Ovis aries: one gene and its partners. The protein of the gene in region 1 interacts with the protein of each later gene in a pairwise test. Links are inferred from orthologs where the notes say so. Each region holds a gene or a part of one and is shown in the gene's direction. Other genes may lie near its edges. The genes, in order: ZNF410, SERTAD1 and TSGA10.

Region 1 (6,108 bases):
CTTCAGTTCTTTCCGTTGTATATACTTTTCTATTTCATCTCCAGAGAGAGCTTCATCTCTATTTCCAGTCTCTTGAGCTAGCTAGGCCCTTCCCTGGTGGCTCAGACAGTAAGGAATCTGCTTGCAATGCAAGAGACCCTGGGTTCGATCCCTGGGTCAGGAAGTTCCCCTGGAGAAGAGAATGGTAACCCACTCCAGTATTCTGCCTGGAGAATTCCATGGACAGAGGAGCCTGGCAGGCTATAGTCCATGGGATTGCAGAATCAGACACAACTGAGTGACAAACACTTTCACTTTCCAAGTAAATATACTGCTTGCTCCTTAGAAGAAAAGCTATGACAAACCTAGACAGCATATTAAAAAGCAGAGATGTTACTCTTTCGACAAAGGTTTGTATAGTCAAAGCTATGGTTTTTCTAGTAGTCATGTAAGGATGTGAGAGCTGGACAATTAAAAAAGGCTGAGTGCTGAAGAATTGATGCTTTCGAACTGTGGTGCTGGGGAAGACTCTTGAGAGTCCCTTGGACAGCAAAGAGATCAAACCAATCAATCCTAAAGGAAATCAACTCTGAACATTCATTGGAAGGACTGATGCTGAAGCTGAAGCTCTAATACTGATGTGAAGAGCCAACTCATTGCAAAAGACTCTGATGCTGGGAAAGATTGAAGGCAGAAGGAGAAGAGCACAACAGATGATGAGATGGTTGGATGGCATCACCGACTCAATGGACATGAGTTTGAGTGGACTCCAGGAGATGGTGAAGGACCAGGAAGCCTGGTGCCCGGCAGCCATGGGGTCACAGAGTCTGACAGAACTGAGCAACTGAACAAGAACCCCATAGGCACCTGGGATAGATAAACTCGGCTTATCTAGGGAGGAATGAACCTTCCCTTGAAAGGTGTTGCTTCTTTTCAAATCACCATCCTTTGTGTAGGAAATTACTGGTTTCTTCAACTCTGTCTCTATTCTTGAAAATGCCCTACTTAGAAAATGCCTTTTATTCCCAGGTGGCTCAGTGGTGAAGAAACTGGCTGCTAATGCAAGAGATGCAGGTTTGATCCCTGGGTGGGGAAGATCCCCTGGCAAAGGAACTGGCTACCCAATCCAGTATTCTTGCCTGGAGAAGCCTGGTGGGGCTACAGTCCATGGGGTCGCAAAAGAGTTGGACACGGCTGAGCATGCTGGAACACCACTCTTAGCTGAATCTCTCCTTCATCCTTTGGGACCCAGCAAGTATTCAAAAATTACTAATCTCAAAAACTCAAGTCAGACACATAAAGCTCTAAGTTGTGGCATCCAGCCTGAAACTCAAGGGTTCTAGCCCCCTGTGGACATCCGAGAGCTCTTTACATCCGAATGTACTGACAGAACGAAGACTAAGGAATCCACATTCCAAAAAAAAGTTATACACCTGAGTCTCAATTTTTTACCCCGCCCGGTATGCAGTGCAGAACTATTCTGGAAGTTCCCTTCTCTGGCACTTAAGCTTCAAAGTCCTCTTCACTGATCACAGAGAACTGTGATAAATGTTTACGTAGTGATCTTTTCTTTCTCGCTTGCCTCCACTGCAGCCTGTACTGATCTCAGCTGACAGGAAAAACTACCCCGTCCGTTGCAGCAGGGAAGCAATGACGTCACGACTATAATTGACTGACCCCGTTTTTTCGGGCTTCGCAGACCACGGAGCCACAAAGGCCGAGAGGGAATGAGTGGGAGGCGGGAGAGTGCAGATCCTACCCTTCCAGAGCCAAGCCCTGCGCCACCAGCTTGGCCCGCGCAGGCCTGAGGCCACCGGGCGGGAACCCTCTTCGGCGCTACAGTCGCGGGGCTGGGAGGCAAGCGAGTGGGTGTGTGCGTGGGGGCGGCCAAACTTCCTGTCCCGCGCTCGAACTGCTTCCGGCAGGAGCCGGAAGACGCTCTGTGTGGACAGAATCCGGGACCGACTGACGGACGGACTGCTGCCCGGGGCTGGAAGGTGAGTTCTGAGGTGGTCCCGACCATACCCGCTCGGCTGGGTGGTCTCCGAGAGGGAGGAAGTCAGTGCCGGCTTCTCGGGGGCGCGGGCCGAGTTTTGTCCCCGGAGAGGACCGGGAAACCGCCCCCGGGGCACCCCACCCGGATCTGGAGCGGCGGGTCTGAAGCCCTACGGCTTCGGCTTTTCTCCTCGAGGGCTTCTGGGGCCGGTGTTTCGGCTCCTTTAGTTGGTTTGGGGGCCAGGGATATGGGGACAAGACCGACCTGAGAAAGCTAGAGTCAGCGAGTGCCCGGGGCGGGGGCTCCCAGACAGCACCCGCAAGTGAGGCCCGCCCGCCAACCTTGGGGCCCTTCACTAGGCCGTTGTAGTCGGGGAACAATGATGCCAGGGTGACTCTGCCCTGGATATTTCAGCCCCAGATCTACTCTCTTCTTCCATATGTCCACTTTCTGGGACTAGAAGAAGAAAGACTGCCGACTCGGAGGGGCTGGGCCGCCGGCTTCTCTTTCGCGTGTCATTTGAAGGCGAGGGTGTGGGGCTGTGAGTGCTTACCGCCTGTATTCGTTTCGCTGGTTGTATTTATCCTCTGAAGTCTCTTCGGAGAAAAGAATTCAATTAGTTTATTAAAGTTTATCCCCCTTGCTCGTGAGACTCTGAAATGCACTTAGGATTCATTTGAAAGTTAAATATTATTAACTTGGAAGTTAAGAATTTGTACTTCCTCCTCATTTTGACCCAAGGGTCGACGCAGCATATTTGTAAAGAGGATGAAAGAAATATTTTAAAATAAAACCAGGGGCATTTTGTTATTGTTAGGGAGTGAAAAATTCCACCGTCTTCGTATGAGATAGTGAGGTCAACTAAGCTCAAAAGATTTAGGTTCTAGTCTTTAAATTTTTGCGTCTAAGTAGAGGTCTCGTTTTCTGCAAATTACTTAATCTTTAGCTTTGACACCCCCACCCACACCCCCTGTAAATGAAGGTTACCTATTCATTCAGCAAATATTTCTTAAATGCTTAGTTTGTGCAAGCACCGTGCTGAGTTAGTGGGAGGATGAATAAATTCAGTGAACCTTAACTAGTGAGAAAAACATGCTGAAAGACAACTAACTCCCAAAGCAGGGTGAGATAATTGTTAAAGAGAGGTTAAACTGTGTTGTGACAACACCAGGGAAGGATAGATTTGTTTTGACTGGAGGGAAAAGATGAGTCTTCATGGAGGATGGCATATGAGTTAGATTTTGAAGACAGGAAAGGATTTCAAAGATCACAGCTGGATTGCAGCGTTTATTACTGGAGGGTCTTATTACTGAAGAACTATCCCAAGGGAAAGATCTTGAACACTGAAATAGGTTGGAGTGTTCATTTAGTAGCCAGTTCAGTGTGTACTGGAGAAAAGGATTCATTGAGTATAGTGGATGCTTTAACTGAAAGTGTATTTGAGGACATACTGTTGAATATTTAAAATGCCATGCTTAGGGATTTGACTGTTAATTCTGAGGCACTGAACTTTGGGCAAGGGAAGTGACATAAACTCTGTGTTTTGGAAAGATAACTCGAGTGGCTGCATAAAAGATGGATTGGAAAGGGGAATTTTAAGGGTAAGGTGGCCAGTTAGAAGCTTGTTTTCATGTTGGAGTTGAAAGATAATGAAAAACCTAAACAGTGCATTTTGGTAGGAATAAATTTGGAGGAATCAGAACCACTGGGATTATTTAGATTTGGAGGATGAGAGAGATTGTTCAAGACCTAGAGTTTGTAGCTGAGTGGGAGGAACGTTGGGCGATAACTGAAATGGATAATACGGGAAGAAGAACAGGTTTGGTGGGGAAGATGACAGTCTGGATTTTGGACATTGTTAAAATTGAGATAAACATCCACTTGGGGATACCTAGCAAGCAGTTAGAAATAGTTTGGAGTTCAGAGAGAGGTTAGTAATAGCAACAAAAATTTGGTTATCATTTGTGGTGTCGTTCATTTAATATGCAAATGTTTATTTAGTGCCTACTAGCTGCTTACAGAGAAGCTTGCATAAAAGCCCTGAAAGCTCATAGAAAAGACAGTCTCGGAGCTTCATAGTATCAAAAATGACTCTTGGAGACTTAAATTCCTTATGAATTACATACAGTACTCTGCCAGGCACCAGGTGATGGGTTCTGGGTGCTAGGAGATAAAGTAGTGAACAAGACAGACAAGTTCTTGTCCTTGTTTATGGAGCTTACAATTTGTAAACAAGCTTGCCCTTTTTTATGACAGCTAGACAAAAAGTGAATACTATATAAAAACAAAGGAATTAGAAATTGTGATGGGTGCTGTAATGGAGACAGTAGGGATAGATAGAGAGTAAAACTGGGGTTATGGGGAACCTTCCTGGGATAAAGTGATCAGGCATACATAACCTTTTTATGTGAGTTGATGGCTGAATAGAGCCCTGAAGAATGAAAAAACAGCTAACCAATAGAAGAGAAAGCATTCCTGGGTAGAGGAAATGACACGTGCAAATCACTGTCGTAGGAAAGAGGTAAACGTGTTCAAGGAACTAAGGGAGAGGCATTTGGTGGAGCTTGGTGAGTAAGTAATAGAGAACAACTCTGGAATGTCTTTGGAGAGGCAGGAATGGATCATGTAGGTCCTTATAGGCCTGGATAAGGATTTTGGATATTTTCCAGATATATTGGGAAGCCACATGAAGAAAATGTGAAAATTCATAGTTTAAGATGATATTGAATGATGCGAAGAGAACAGAATGAAGGGAGGCAAAGAATAGAAGCAGGGAGACCAGTTAGGAGGCAGTAACGGTACTTTAAGGCAAGAGTTGGCCTGGAGTAGAGTAGAGGCAGTAGAAGTAGGTGGGTTAGAGATAGACTCAAGTCCAGACTTGTAGCTGGACTGCATACTGGGAGCAAAGGAAAGAAGTTATAAAAGTAACTTCTAAATGGGGTGAATGATGGCCTTCCCTTGAGTGTCGAGGGTTGTGGTCAGAGGGGCTGGCAGAGGACAATGGGAAACAGGGTTGGAAGAGAATTCATTTTGAATATGTTAAATTTGAGATATTATAACATCAGGTAGAGATGTCAAATAAGCAATTATATGTACAAGTTTGTAGCTCAGAGGAGATATCTAGGCTATAGGTTAAAATTTTGGAGACCATGTCATTTAAAGCCATGTGTTCACACTAGGAAGAGAATATAATGTAGTAAGAGAAGAGGGCCTGCAAACTCCTGAGGAACATTAGTATTTAGAAGGTGAGTGGAGGAAGAATATAGGAGTTATCAGAGAAGACTGGAGGAGTGGCCAATGAGGTAGGATTAAAATGAGAATCTTAGAGGCAAAAGAGAGTAAGTAAAGTGTTTGTGGAAGGAGGCAATGCTTCTAAGGGAAAATATCAGTTCTGACTCTGATTGCAAGTGACCAATTTACTTGAGGAGAAGAGGAATTTATAACAAGGATGTGGGCAGCTCACAGGATCAAAGGAAATGCTGAAGGCCCTGGCTTTGAAAAGGACAGAAATCTGAGCATCCCCAGGGGAAGACTGATGATTGCAGTACTGGAATGAACAGGTTGCTATAGCAGTTTTCACCTTTTAGTTAGTTACTTCTTTTAGAGTTCATGTTCTAAGTTAAAGTATCTGATGAACAAATCAGTTGACTGCCCAACAGTTGATTAAGATAGGAAAGAACACCTTATTCTACAGTCCCACCAAGAATGTATACAGAGAGGGAGGGGTAGATCCCCAAACAAAATGTGGATCCTGTCACCTAAACAGGGGCAATGAATGTGGAACAATCAAAAATAATAGTTGTCCTTTGCAAAGTTTAAGTAAGATGAAAACAGTAAAGTATCCATTGAATTTGGCAGCATGAAGATCATTGGCTTTAAATTTGTCTCTGAAGGATTGCAGAGAAATGGGGAGGTGACTGGAATAAAAATCAGGGCCATAGGAATGGGGCACCCCAGAACATCCCAGGAAGAGAAGAAGGAAGGCCCAGGATGAACGTTACAGTTTCTGAAATTCATTCTGGCTTCACCATTCTGTGTTCTTGATGTCTTTGATCAGTCCTCATTACCACTTTATCATTAACATTTAGTTAACTCTCATGCTATATCTTATACTAGATATGATATTAAAAAGT
Region 2 (6,308 bases), on another chromosome or scaffold:
CCTTCATTCATTTTGAAAAATTTCAAGCACAAAAAAAAAAGAAAGAAAAAAAAGTATGTCTTCTGAGCACTTGAATACCCTCTCACCTAGATTTAGTTGTTAACATTCTGTTTCCTTTATTTGAATATGTGTATGTATATGTGTCTGTTTTTTTCTTTTGCTGAACCACTGGAGAGTATATTGCAGACATCTGAATGTTGTACCTCTAATAGCTCAGCAGGCATCTCTTAAGATTAAGGACGATCAACTACAAACCACAGTCCTATTTCACATGTGACAGAATTAAGAATTTCAGAATATCACCTAGTATCCAACCTATATTCAAATCTGCCCAATTTTCTCAAGAACACCCTTTGTAGAATTTACCACAAACTAGAGTCACTTTCACTTTTCACTTTCATGCATTGGAGAAGGAAACGGCAACCCGCTCCAGTATTCTTGCCTGGAGAATCCCAGGGATAGAGGAGCCTGGTGGGCTGCCGTCTATGGGGTCACACAGAGTCCGACACGACTGAAGCGACTTAGCAGCAGCAGCAGCAGCAGCAGAGTCTAAGGGAGGTTCACATGCCTATTTGGTTGTAACAAAGAAATTATACAGTATCTTTTATTCTGGAACATCCACCCCCTAACCTCACTAATCCCTTTCTGTGGTTTCTTGAAGTTGGATTTTTGGAAGAACAACCCAGCCTTGCTGTAGACTTCCCACACTGTGTATTTGTCTGACTGTTTTTGTGTTTAATATTGTCGCTCTCTGTTCCCTGTATGCTGAAGTTTGGGCCTAGACACTTGAGACTCACTTTATGAAATGTAACAGGGAAGCTCCACAACGAAGGTTGTGTACTGCCTAATGCATCACGTCAGGCACCACCCAGTGTCCGGGCATCCTGCAGCTGTGGATGCAAAGTTTCATTATATAGTTAAGGTGCTGAGCTCCTCCTCTTCCCATCATAAAAGGATATTTCCCCCTTTGCAGTTAGCAAGGAATTTGTGGGATGATGCTTTGGAAACTGTCGAGATCCTGTTCCCCATTAACTTTCACCCCAAAGGGTGAGCATCTATTGAAAATGGTTGTCTGAATCACGTAGTTGAGTTAGCATTTTTGATAGCTTACTTTGGTCAGAAGATTTATTCACAAACAGTTCTTCCCCTTAGCGAATGAGGAATTAGCAAATGAGGTATTTGAAGAAGGTAAGTCCCATTGTCAGTTTATCTGACGTGTATTAAACTCCTGTCCACGTGCACCCCACCGTGAATGTCTCCCCTTGAACTGAGCACCTGTGGTATTACTACAACAGCCATTACTAATGAAAAAAGACACCTAACACACCACTCAGCATTGTGCAGGAATTGTTTAATCCTCAAAACAATCCTCTGCGTCAGAGGCTATTTCTCTCATTTTAAAAATAAGTGAGAAAACCTAAAGAATTAAAGCACTTGGTCAAGGTCACACAGCTATTGTACTTACGGAATGGAGCCCAGGAAGGGACTCCAGTGCCATTCCACTCCCTACCCCTAACTCCTGTCTGTAATCACAGGACAGAGTCCAACTACCCAGAATTTGCTTATATAGTGCTCTTACAGATAATACCTTACTTGAAGTTTCCCAACTCTCAAGAGGTAGGCAAAAAGATCCCCCTTTAACAGACTCTGTGGGCTCAAAAACCAGAATTTGAATCCAGGACTAAGCTGGCCTAGAGTGTAGACCTCTGTTGGGGCTGCTAGCGTAAGCTCAATTATTGGGTTTGACAAGTGCAGATGTGATGCAGATGTGGCCAGATGTGAGGGGGCCCACAGCTTGAGAGACAAAAACTCCACCGCGCCACCGTCCTACAGGGCCAAGAGCCACCCTATCTTCCTCCCTCCCTTCAAGCAGCCTCCCGGACATGCGCCCTAAAGACAACTCGCCTCTTTCTAGCCTGCTTTGTACAGGCTCCGCCCATCACCGTCTAGGACCAATCCCTGGGTGAAGGGTGGGGCTGCCACGGGAGTGGGCGGTAACTAAGGGGAGTCAGGAGCCGGGAGTCGTGAGCTGGAGTCAGAACTGCGTCTCTCAACCCAGGTGCCGGTTGCTGAAGCAGAGCGGGCGAGCAATGCTGCCGCCACCGCTTCCTGATTGGCTGCGGGTGGCTCCCTCTTCTTTCTGATTGGCAGCTGGTGAACTAGGTATGTAAATGAAGGGAAGAGGCCTGGGGAAAGAGGGGTACTGGCCGCGGGGTTCTTTGGCAGGTTCGATCCCCCGGTCCGGCAGGTGCGCGCCAGGGCTGTCCGGGATCGAGGCGCACGGGCCTCTCCGTGCCGCCCGCCCGGGCCTGGCGGGTGAATCACACCGCAGCCCGGGAAGGGGGCGGAGGCGCCGGCTCCCTGGCTCCGGCTGCGTGACTCACCCGCCCCCGCCGCCGCCGCCGCTTCGGGAGGAGTAGCCTCCACTGCCTTCCGGAAGCGAGCGGAGGCCGAGAGGGCAGAACGGCCCTCCGGGGATCCCGGCCCGCACGGTCCCTGGTGGCAAGCAGAAATGACCACGTCCCGCGGGGCACTGTAAAGAGTCCTGGGGTCTGGAGAGTCGGAATCCCCGGGGAAAGCCGGCCTGGCTCCGCCAGGGGGCGCCGGGGCCAGAGGGGCGGAGTCGGGAGTGGGGGCTGAATTCCTGCGGTTCCGGACTCTCGGATTTGCTGGGAAGGAGGCGAGGACCCAGTTTTGAGTAGTGTGAGAGGGTCACTCTTGAAGTTCTCCTGGGCAAGGATCTGGGTGCTATACCCTACAGGCTGCCTGGCTTAAAAAAAGCAGGTTGGGTCAGGGGCACCCACCCCGGGGAAAGTGTGGGTCTTCAAACTTCTCTCCGTGACCCCCGTGCCCATCAGGATTTTCCGGCAAGCTTTGTCCACGCTGTCTCTCAAATAAATCCTGAAGCGACCATCTTCCTTCCATGCCCACTGCCACCTTATGCTCCCAAGTCACCGTCTTCGCCTACCCCAAAGACTGCAGTAGCCTCCGAAAGGATCTCAGGGCCGCTCTCCCCTCCCCTCCTCGCTCCCCCTTCCTCTTAGCAGCCAAGGGGATCTTCTGGAAACCTAATCAGTCCACAACACCACTGTCCTCCCTGCTCAAACCCCTTCAGTGGCTTCCCACCACACCCCCCAATAAAATCCAAGCTCCTTGCCTCTGCCTACTCTCGAACCCCCACATCCTCCGTACTCCACCCTCAACCCCCAACCCCCGCACTGACTACAGAGTCCTTTTTCAGCTCAGACTCATCCAGTCTCTAGGCTTTTCTTTGCCTTTGCTGTTCTTTATTCCCAGAATGCCTTCCCCCTGGTTCTTCCATGGCTGATTCTTTCTCGTACTTGAGGGCTCATTTCAGATGTCACCTCCTCAGGGGAGCCTTCCCTGACCACTCTCCAGAAACTTTTAGCATCTTCCTAGCACCATCCGTACATTTCTTGTGTTTGTTTATTGTCTGATGCTATTAGTAGACACTCAGTAAATATTAGATTAAACCATGTGAAACAACTGCTTTTGTAGGTTTTAAAAAAAAAGTTGAATATTGGACATTTCACACTGGACTCTTCATGTTAGCCATTTCACATAGTTCATTGAAGAAATAGATAATAGTTATTATCAATAGTACTTATTTACAGGAGTAATTGCTGTGTACCAGACACTGTCCAAAGTGCTTTTTAAAATCTCATTTATTCCTTAAAACAACTCTAGGAAGTAGATACAATTATCATCAATGTCTTAAAGCTTCCCCAAGAAAACGTAGGCTCAGAGAGGTTAAGTGCTTTGCCCAAGATCACACAGCAATGGTCAGAACTTCACACTGGCTTTCCATAACTGAATGACTCTTCCCACAGATGATGCTGAGCAAGGGCCTGAAGCGAAAGCGGGAGGAGGAGGAGGAGGAGGAGAAGGAAACCCTGGCAGTGGACGCCTGGTGGCTGGATCCCAGCCACTCAGCAGTAGCTCAGGCACCCCCAGCTGTAGCCTCCAGTTCTCTCTTTGACCTTTCGGTGCTCAAGCTCCATCACAGCCTGCGGCAGAGTGAGCCGGACCTGCGGCACCTGGTGCTGGTAGTGAACACACTGCGGCGAATCCAGGCATCCATGGCACCCACGGCTGCCCTGCCACCTGTGCCCACCCCACCTACAGCCCCCAGCGTGGCTGACAACCTGCTGGCCAGCTCTGATGCTGCCCTCTCAGCCTCCATGGCCAGCCTTCTGGAGGACCTCAGCCATATTGAGGGCCTGAGCCAGGCCCCACAGCCCCTGGTAGATGAGGGGCCACTAGGCCGCCCTGCCGGGGGAGCCTCACCCAGCCTGGGCGCCTTGGACCTGCTGGGCCCAGCCACTGGCTGTCTGCTGGACGATGGGCTCGAGGGCCTGTTTGAGGACATTGACACGTCCATGTATGACAGTGAACTCTGGGCACCAGTCTCTGAGGGCCACAAATCCAGCCCTGAAGATGGACCAGGCAAGGAGGTAGGTCCAGATCTGGACGAGGCCGAGCTGGACTACCTCATGGACGTGCTGGTGGGCACACAGGCGCTGGAGCGACCACCGGGGCCAGGGCGTTGACCCCTCTGGGCCGGGATGTTGATCTGATGTCCAAACTGAGCCTGCTGGCTGGACCAACTCTCCTTGGAAAGACACAGCTGGCTTCCCTTGAGAGGGGCTTTGGAGAGAAAGAATCCAGTCCTGGGCAACTTCACCTCCATCCTCTTGTCTCTGACTGATGGGGAGGGGAGTCTGGGATTGGCCCTTGTGATGAAATGACAGGGCCTGGTGGCTGGAATGTGATTGGACTAGGTCCTGTGCTGAATCCCTGGAGGCACAGCCTGGTATACATTTGCGTCGATGGGGGAAGAGACCCCAACCTGTTTTTTGAAATTAAAGCCAGTCCTGGAAAGTCTGAAGTGTGTGTACTGCTTTGTTTCTGGGCCAAGGCACTGGTGAGGGTGGTAGAAAACCTCTAGCATTTATCAAGCGAGGACTGTGCACGCAGCAAGTTCTAAGCACTTGACGTGTGCTGATTTAATCCTCATAACAAGATGGGCATGTCATTATCCTCATTTTACAGTTGAGAAAACTGAGGATCCAAGAAGTCAACTCTTAGGGAGATAAGTTTCAAACTTTACTGTTTTTTGGTCTGAGAAGCAGACCAATTAGGTCTGGAAACTGGCTCTCTAGAAAACTTCTGGAATATACTCAGTCAGGTCTCCCCATGTGCCTGTGTGTGTACCTAATGGTGGTGGGTGGTGGTGGAGGAGGAGGAGCCCCAGGCCACTGTTGAAAAATGAAATCTAGACCTTGCCTGGAGTCTACCTGCGTGTCTTGGAGTTGGGGGTGCAGAAGGAGCTTTCAGAATGAACCAGAAATAAAAGCACAAAGCTGAAGGCTGGATGCAGCCTCTCCTCTGAGCGCAGAGAACCAGTTCTCTGGGAAAATGGTGAAAGAAAGACTCCAGGAAGTTTTAAACAAAATCCACTCCAGGTCTCAAATCTCTCTTTGGGCTAGGGATAAGGCAGCTTCCGGAAGCCGATTCCGAAATAAAGCCACTAAGTGTGGTGGCTTGACAGAAAGAACGGCAAGGGATCCTGCTTTCGTTCTAGAAGAAACTCGGAGCCCCAGCGGGCTGGGGCCACCTGCCTGACAGGCCTGTGCGATAGGGCCGGCCTGAGCGCCGGGTGTCTGCGCCGCCCCCGCCGTCCAGCCGCATTCCTGGCCCGGCTGGGAGGGGCCGCACACTCAGAGGCCTGGCACGGGACCCAGGCGGCGTCCTTCCTGGCGGCCGTGGGGGCAGGGCCGCGCCCGGGGTACCGGAGGGGGGAGGGGCACGGGGAACGCGGCATCGGGGGAGGGCGGAGGCAGGCGGGGGAGGGGCGCAGGGTGACCTGCGCCGACTGGCTGGGCCTCGGATGCGGGAAGCCCCGGCAAAGGGACACTTCAAATCGTGGGGCCCGGGTGCCTCCACTCTGGCCGGAAGCTACGGGGAGGCTGAAGCTGGGGTGGAAACGGAGGAAGGGTGGGTGGGAGAGGGAGGGGGAGAGGCGGGCAGCTTCGGCCGGGCCTGCGGGCCTGGAAGGGGCGGGCACAGGGGAGCTTCCTGGAGGAGCGGAGGAAGTCGTGCCCATTTCTGGAAGTGGATGGGGTGGCCCCGGGAGGGGAGTGGAAATGCCCCAAAGGGAGCTGGTGCCCTAGTTCAGGGTCTTCCGGGTGCCTGACTCCAACACCTGGGGGCTCCAGCCCCTGGGCAGTGGGACTCAGATTTGATTTTGACCCAGACCCAGACCTTGCGGGTAGGCTAAGCTCAGC
Region 3 (5,571 bases), on another chromosome or scaffold:
CTATATTTTGTTCATTTTTCTAGTTGCTTTTGGCAACAGGGTAATTCAGACCCTGTTAATCCCTCTTGTCTAGATAATAGCTGTTTTAAGGCCCTTGTCTGCTAATACCATCTTTTGTCATTTTCCATCTGTTTACATCAACTAATTTTGATGCTCGTGGATCACTATTCCTGTATCTTTACATGTCTGATATATATATATTTTTAAACTGAATGCTGGACGTTGTGGATTTTACTTTGTTGAATGTTAAATTTTGTTGTTTTCCTTTAGAGAGCGTTGGATTTGTTTTGGCAGGCTCTTAAATTACTTGAATATCAACTAATACTTTCAAGATTGTTTTTAAGCTTTGGTAGGGCAGATCTTAAGTAGCCTTTCCTGTAAGACTAGTTTAGCCTCACCCCTAAGTTGTGACCCTTCCAGATTCTCTATTAAATGCCCAGTCCAGGGTGTTCTACACTAAAGAGTTTCTTAATGAGGGTGAAAGAAGAGAGTGAAAAAGCTGACTTAAAACTCAACTTAAAAAAAACTGAGATCATGGCATCCAGTCCCATCACTTCATGCCAAATAGAGGAGGAAAAAATGGAAACAAGGGCAGATTTTATTTTATTTGGTTCCAAAATCACTGTGAACAGTGACTGCAGCCATGAAATTCAAAGACTCTTGCTCCTTGGAAGGAAAACTGTGACAAATCTAGACAGCACATTAAAAAGCAAAGACATCACTTTTCCAACAAAGGTCCGAATAATCAAAGCTATGGTTTTCCCAGTAGTCATGTATGGATGTGAGATGCGGACCATAAAGAAGGCTGAGTGCTAAAGAATTGATGCTTTCAAACTGTTGTATTGGAGAAGACTCTTGAGAGTCCCTTGGACTGCAAGGAGATCAAAGCAGTCAATCCTCAAGGCAGTCAAGCCTGAATATTCATTGGAAGGACTGATGGTGAAGCTCCAATACTTTGGCCACCTAATGCAAAGAGCTTACTCATTGGAAAAGACCCTGATGCTGGGAAAGGTTGGAGGCAAAAGGAGAAGAGGGTGGCAGAAGATGAGATGGTTAGATAACATCACCGACTCAACGGACGTGAATCTGAGCAAACTCCAGGAGATAATAAAGGACAGGAAAGCCTGGTGTGCTATAGTCCACGGGGTTGCACAGTCGGCCACGACTTAGCAACTAAACAATGAACCACCAGGGTGTTCACTAAGAACTTTTCACTTTCACAGGCTCAAACTTTGTCCCTAGCTTTGGCACATTTGTTACCAGCTGATCTTGACTCATTTTCTTTGTTTTTGGCATGTGAGAATTTCTCTTTCTTACCTACAAGTTCAGCTATAAATTGCAAAAATAATTTTTTATTCTATTTCATCCAGAAGATTTTCCTCTTAGCTTAATCAGCAATTTTACTAGAACCTGAAACATTCCATACATTCTTTTCAAAACTGATCGCAATAACCTCCTCTGTAATATCTTTCAGTGGAGGTAAAGACCTAGATTTTGTTGATACCTGGGTTACCAGGCTTTGTTTTGTAAGTTGTATGTGTTTTCAACTGTGTCTCTTTTCACTCTTTTCTGTGGTCTCTGAGCTCGAGACATAGGAAGGAGCCTTTTCTCTGCTCTTGCTTCACACTTGGCATCCTCCAACTTGAAAAGCCACCTTCCCCTCACACATTGTGTATCCATTTGCTTTTCAGATCTCGGTTCAAGTGCCATTAACTCAGAGAAGGCTTTCTTGACTTCCCTGATCCTCTCAGTCTAGGTCCCTTCCCTGTGTTACAGTTTTTTTCTCTAGAATGTTTGCCTAATCTGTATCTACATATTCATCTTTATGATTATCTTATTGACTGTGATTCCCCCATAGTCTGGAAGCCTCATGAGAACAAAGACCATTACCATTGGCTATGCATCTAGGCACATTGTTGGAACATAGAATATACATAAAAAGTATGTATGGAATGGATGGATAGGTGGATGAGTAGGGTGGATGGATGGATAGAAGTTTGTTTGAAGAATGTGTGAGTAATTGTATGAGTGAGGAAGGAAGGAGAGGAGAAAGGAGTGTATTTTGGCCAAATAACTTATTCCAGGAGCAATTTTTTGTGTGTTGTACTTGTGAAAACACTTATAAAATCAGAAAAATTTCTTTGCTTGCCTCTTAGTTCTCTTAGCCTCATATAATAGCAAATACTTCTCTGTAGGTGGCAGTGCACTTACATAAGAACTTTTTCTGAAAAAAAGGGGGGGATTATCTTGAATATTTGAAAGCATTTATATAACTTGAATCTCATATTACAGTGTTTAAAACATGCTCTCATTTTATCTAATATGGATATATCCTTAATTTATAGTTATCCAGTCTTTTTCCCTCAGAGGTATTAGTAAGTGTTAGAGAGTTATCAGTCCTCATTTTATGAAATTATGATCCATATCAGCATGTAATTCAAGAATGGAGAAGTAGGCATAGTGAATGAAAGAGTGGCTAATGTTTTATCTTTAATAGCAACAATATTTACATTATAGAATAATTGTAACTGTGGCAAATATAGACAGAACTACAAAGATATATATATATCTCAACTAGCTTTGGGGCTGAGACTTCTAAGTTGTTTTCTCAGTACATTAAAAAGAATGATCAGCTGACCACTTTACTCATGGATTTTGTATATGAAAATTTGAAACCGGAATTTATCTTTCCCAGAATGTTTTGTACGTGCTCTTACCATCTATATCAACTATAGTTCTTTATAGGGACTTCCCTGTCCTTTACCACTTCATGGAATGTCCTTTACCATTCCCTGTCCCATGGTTCAGGATACATGCTTCCACTGCAGGAGGTATGGGTTTGATCCCAGGTTGGGGAATTAAGATCCCACGTGCTGTTTGGCAAAGCAAAAAAAAAAAAAAAAAAGAGAGAGAGAAAGTTCCTTGTAATCTAAAAGTACTGTCATTAAAAGATTTGCCTCGCTTTGTTTTCTGTGTCGTGGGTTTTTCCCACATTAAAAAATATATAATAATTTGTCCTTGCAGCACTTAAATGCAGAACGGTCTTACAAGTCCCAGATTGCTACTTTACATAAGTCTGTTGTAAAGATGGAAGAGGAGCTTCAGAAGGTTCAGTTTGAAAAAGTGTCTGCCCTTGCAGATTTGTCTTCTACAAGGGAACTTTGCATTAAACTTGACTCAAGCAAAGAACTTCTTAATCGACAGCTGGTTGCTAAAGATCAAGAGATAGAAATGGTACGTCATACATTTCTAAATGGTTCTTTTAATAATGCTATCACTGTAAAATTTTTGTTATTTTAGGAAAACAAACTTTTTTTTTTAAAACAAAATGCTACAGCAAAGGTATGTCTTTCAACTTTAGATTTTATTTTTAAAGTCCAGGATATTGATTTCTGTTGTGTTGCAAACCATTCAGGACCATAACAGAGACTCTTCCTTTGTGTGCTCTGCATTTACTTTTAGTCAAAAGAATGATAAAGCACACTGACATATCAGTCAGCAAAGAACCGCAAGGTTGAGGTTTATCTAGCTAAATTATAATTTTAATGATATTGTTTAAAGTTAAATTTACTGTTTGGCTGAGTTCTTTTCAACTGTAATTCACTTCATTTTATCTGTCGTGTGCCTGATGCCTGCCATCATGCTTGCCATGTGAATATAATGCTCAAAAGGTACAGTCCCCCTCTCTCAAAGACCTCCTGGTATTGACATACAAATAATTTGGGGTGAATGTGATACTAATAAGAAATGCTGAAGGTTTCAGAGAGGAAATTCCCATTGGCCTGTGGGTGTCGGAGAGGAGTTCATAAGGGTGTACTACTGAACTCAAAAGGAATGAGGGAATAGCTTAGGCAATGGTATGGAGGTATAAATAAACTCTGGAGTGAGCAGTAAGTCATTTGCAGTGGCCAGTGTAGCATGCACAAGTGACTGAGATGCATCTGAAGAAATAGATGGGACCTGAATCCTAAAAGGATGTATGTTAAAGTTGCATAGTATAATTGAAATATCAACACGTTTTGGCTACGTTTACATTTCTGTTATTATCACACTGTGTTGAACTCCTTATTTTGTTAGCCTACTGCTTGTTAGGATGATATGATGCATTCGAGAATGATGTGTCTTGTTGGCTTCTGTAAGAAGTTCCATGTAAAAACGGATACACAATTGTCCTTAGCAGCATTCTTCATAATTGCTAAGAAGTGTAAATAACTCAAATATTCCTACATCTATGCAAGGGAATATTATTTGGCAGTAGCAGTAATGAAGGATTGATAGCTGCTAAAACATGGAGAACTCTTGAAAACATTACACTAAGTGAAGGAAGTCAGTCATGTAAGACCACACACACACACACACACCACACACACACACACACACAGTATGTTTCCATTTATGTGAAATGTTCAAAATAAAGCAGATCATAGAAAATAGATGAGTTATTGCCTAGGGCTAGTGCTGGGGCAGAGGTAAGGGAGTGACTGCTAATGTGTACTGGGTTCCATTTTGGGATGATGAAAATGTTCTAACAATAAACTATGAGAATGTGGTATGATCACATAACTCTGTTAATACTGTGTTGGCCGAAGAGTTTGAGTTTTTCCATAAGGGGTGTTACAGAAAAACTCAAACAGACTTTTTGGTCAACCCAGTATACTAAAAACCATTGACTTGTACCTAATTTAAATGGGCAAGTTGTATGGTATGTGAATTACATCCCAATGAAGCTGCTGCCAAAAAAGTGATGCTCCATTTTGTATTCCGCCAGCATTGCCTATTTTAATGTTAATCAACACGCATTAAGACATTTGCCAATTTAATAAACTGCAGCATTGGTTCAACCGAAAGAGGTTTTTCTCCTCTGAATATTCAGCAACGTCTGGAGGTATTTTTGAATGTCACACCAGGGTTGAGGGGTGCTGTAGACCTCTAGTAAGTAGAGGCCAGGGATGCTGCTCAGTATCCTGTAAGGCACAGGGCAGCTCCCTATACCAAACAATTACCCAGCACAAAAGATCAGTAGGGTAAAGGTGAAGAAATCCTGGATTACAGATACCATTTTGCTTTAAGTTATGCTTCTTTGATTATTAATACAAGATATATTATTCTCTATGTTTACTAATTAGCTGGCTATATTTTGTAAATTTTCTGTTCATTAATTCATATTTCTCATGAATTAGTTTATATTCCTTTTATTAGTAAGCTATAACTATTTACTGAGTTTATTTTCATCTGTTTTTTTCCCTCAAATTTTGGTTGTTTATAATGACTGTAGATATGTTTATTTTTGCTATGGTCAGACATCATTTTTAACTGTATCTAGTCTAAAAAGTTGTTACCCTACCTGCCTGCCCCTCTCCTAATAATTCATTTTTATTAAACTTTCTTTTCTCAGAGTTTTACATTAAATTTTTAAATATATATATAATTTATTATAATGTGCATTATGAGATAAAGAATTTTTTTTTTTCTAAATACTGATGTCTGGTTTCCCTCCTTTTGGAGAAGCATTTGGCTTACAGAATATATTTTAGGCTCAAGATAACCTTCAAAAAGTGAAGTGTTCCATAG

What was found.
Region 2: the proteins of ZNF410 (region 1) and SERTAD1 interact in binary tests that used the Homo sapiens proteins (3 or more experiments, as listed by UniProt). The two-hybrid records come from large-scale screens. The link is inferred for Ovis aries from reciprocal best matches to the Homo sapiens genes ZNF410 and SERTAD1.
Region 3: the proteins of ZNF410 (region 1) and TSGA10 interact in binary tests that used the Homo sapiens proteins (3 or more experiments, as listed by UniProt). The two-hybrid records come from large-scale screens. The link is inferred for Ovis aries from reciprocal best matches to the Homo sapiens genes ZNF410 and TSGA10.

What each region holds. Positions count from the first base shown.
Region 1 is NC_056060.1:83,364,472-83,370,579, forward strand, and holds the start of ZNF410 (zinc finger protein 410), read left to right. Parts: upstream 1-1,921; 5' UTR 1,922-1,976; intron 1,977-6,108. UniProt on the Homo sapiens protein: Transcription factor that binds to the sequence motif 5'-CATCCCATAATA-3', and is specifically required to silence expression of fetal hemoglobin in adult erythroid cells.
Region 2 is NC_056067.1:49,176,944-49,183,251, reverse strand, and holds SERTAD1 (SERTA domain-containing protein 1), read left to right. Parts: upstream 1-2,037; 5' UTR 2,038-2,163; intron 2,164-3,851; coding exon 3,852-4,571; 3' UTR 4,572-4,905; downstream 4,906-6,308. UniProt on the Homo sapiens protein: Acts at E2F-responsive promoters as coregulator to integrate signals provided by PHD- and/or bromodomain-containing transcription factors. Stimulates E2F1/TFDP1 transcriptional activity.
Region 3 is NC_056056.1:102,254,076-102,259,646, forward strand, and holds part of TSGA10 (testis-specific gene 10 protein), read left to right. Parts: intron 1-3,024; coding exon 3,025-3,234; intron 3,235-5,571. UniProt on the Homo sapiens protein: Plays a role in spermatogenesis. When overexpressed, prevents nuclear localization of HIF1A.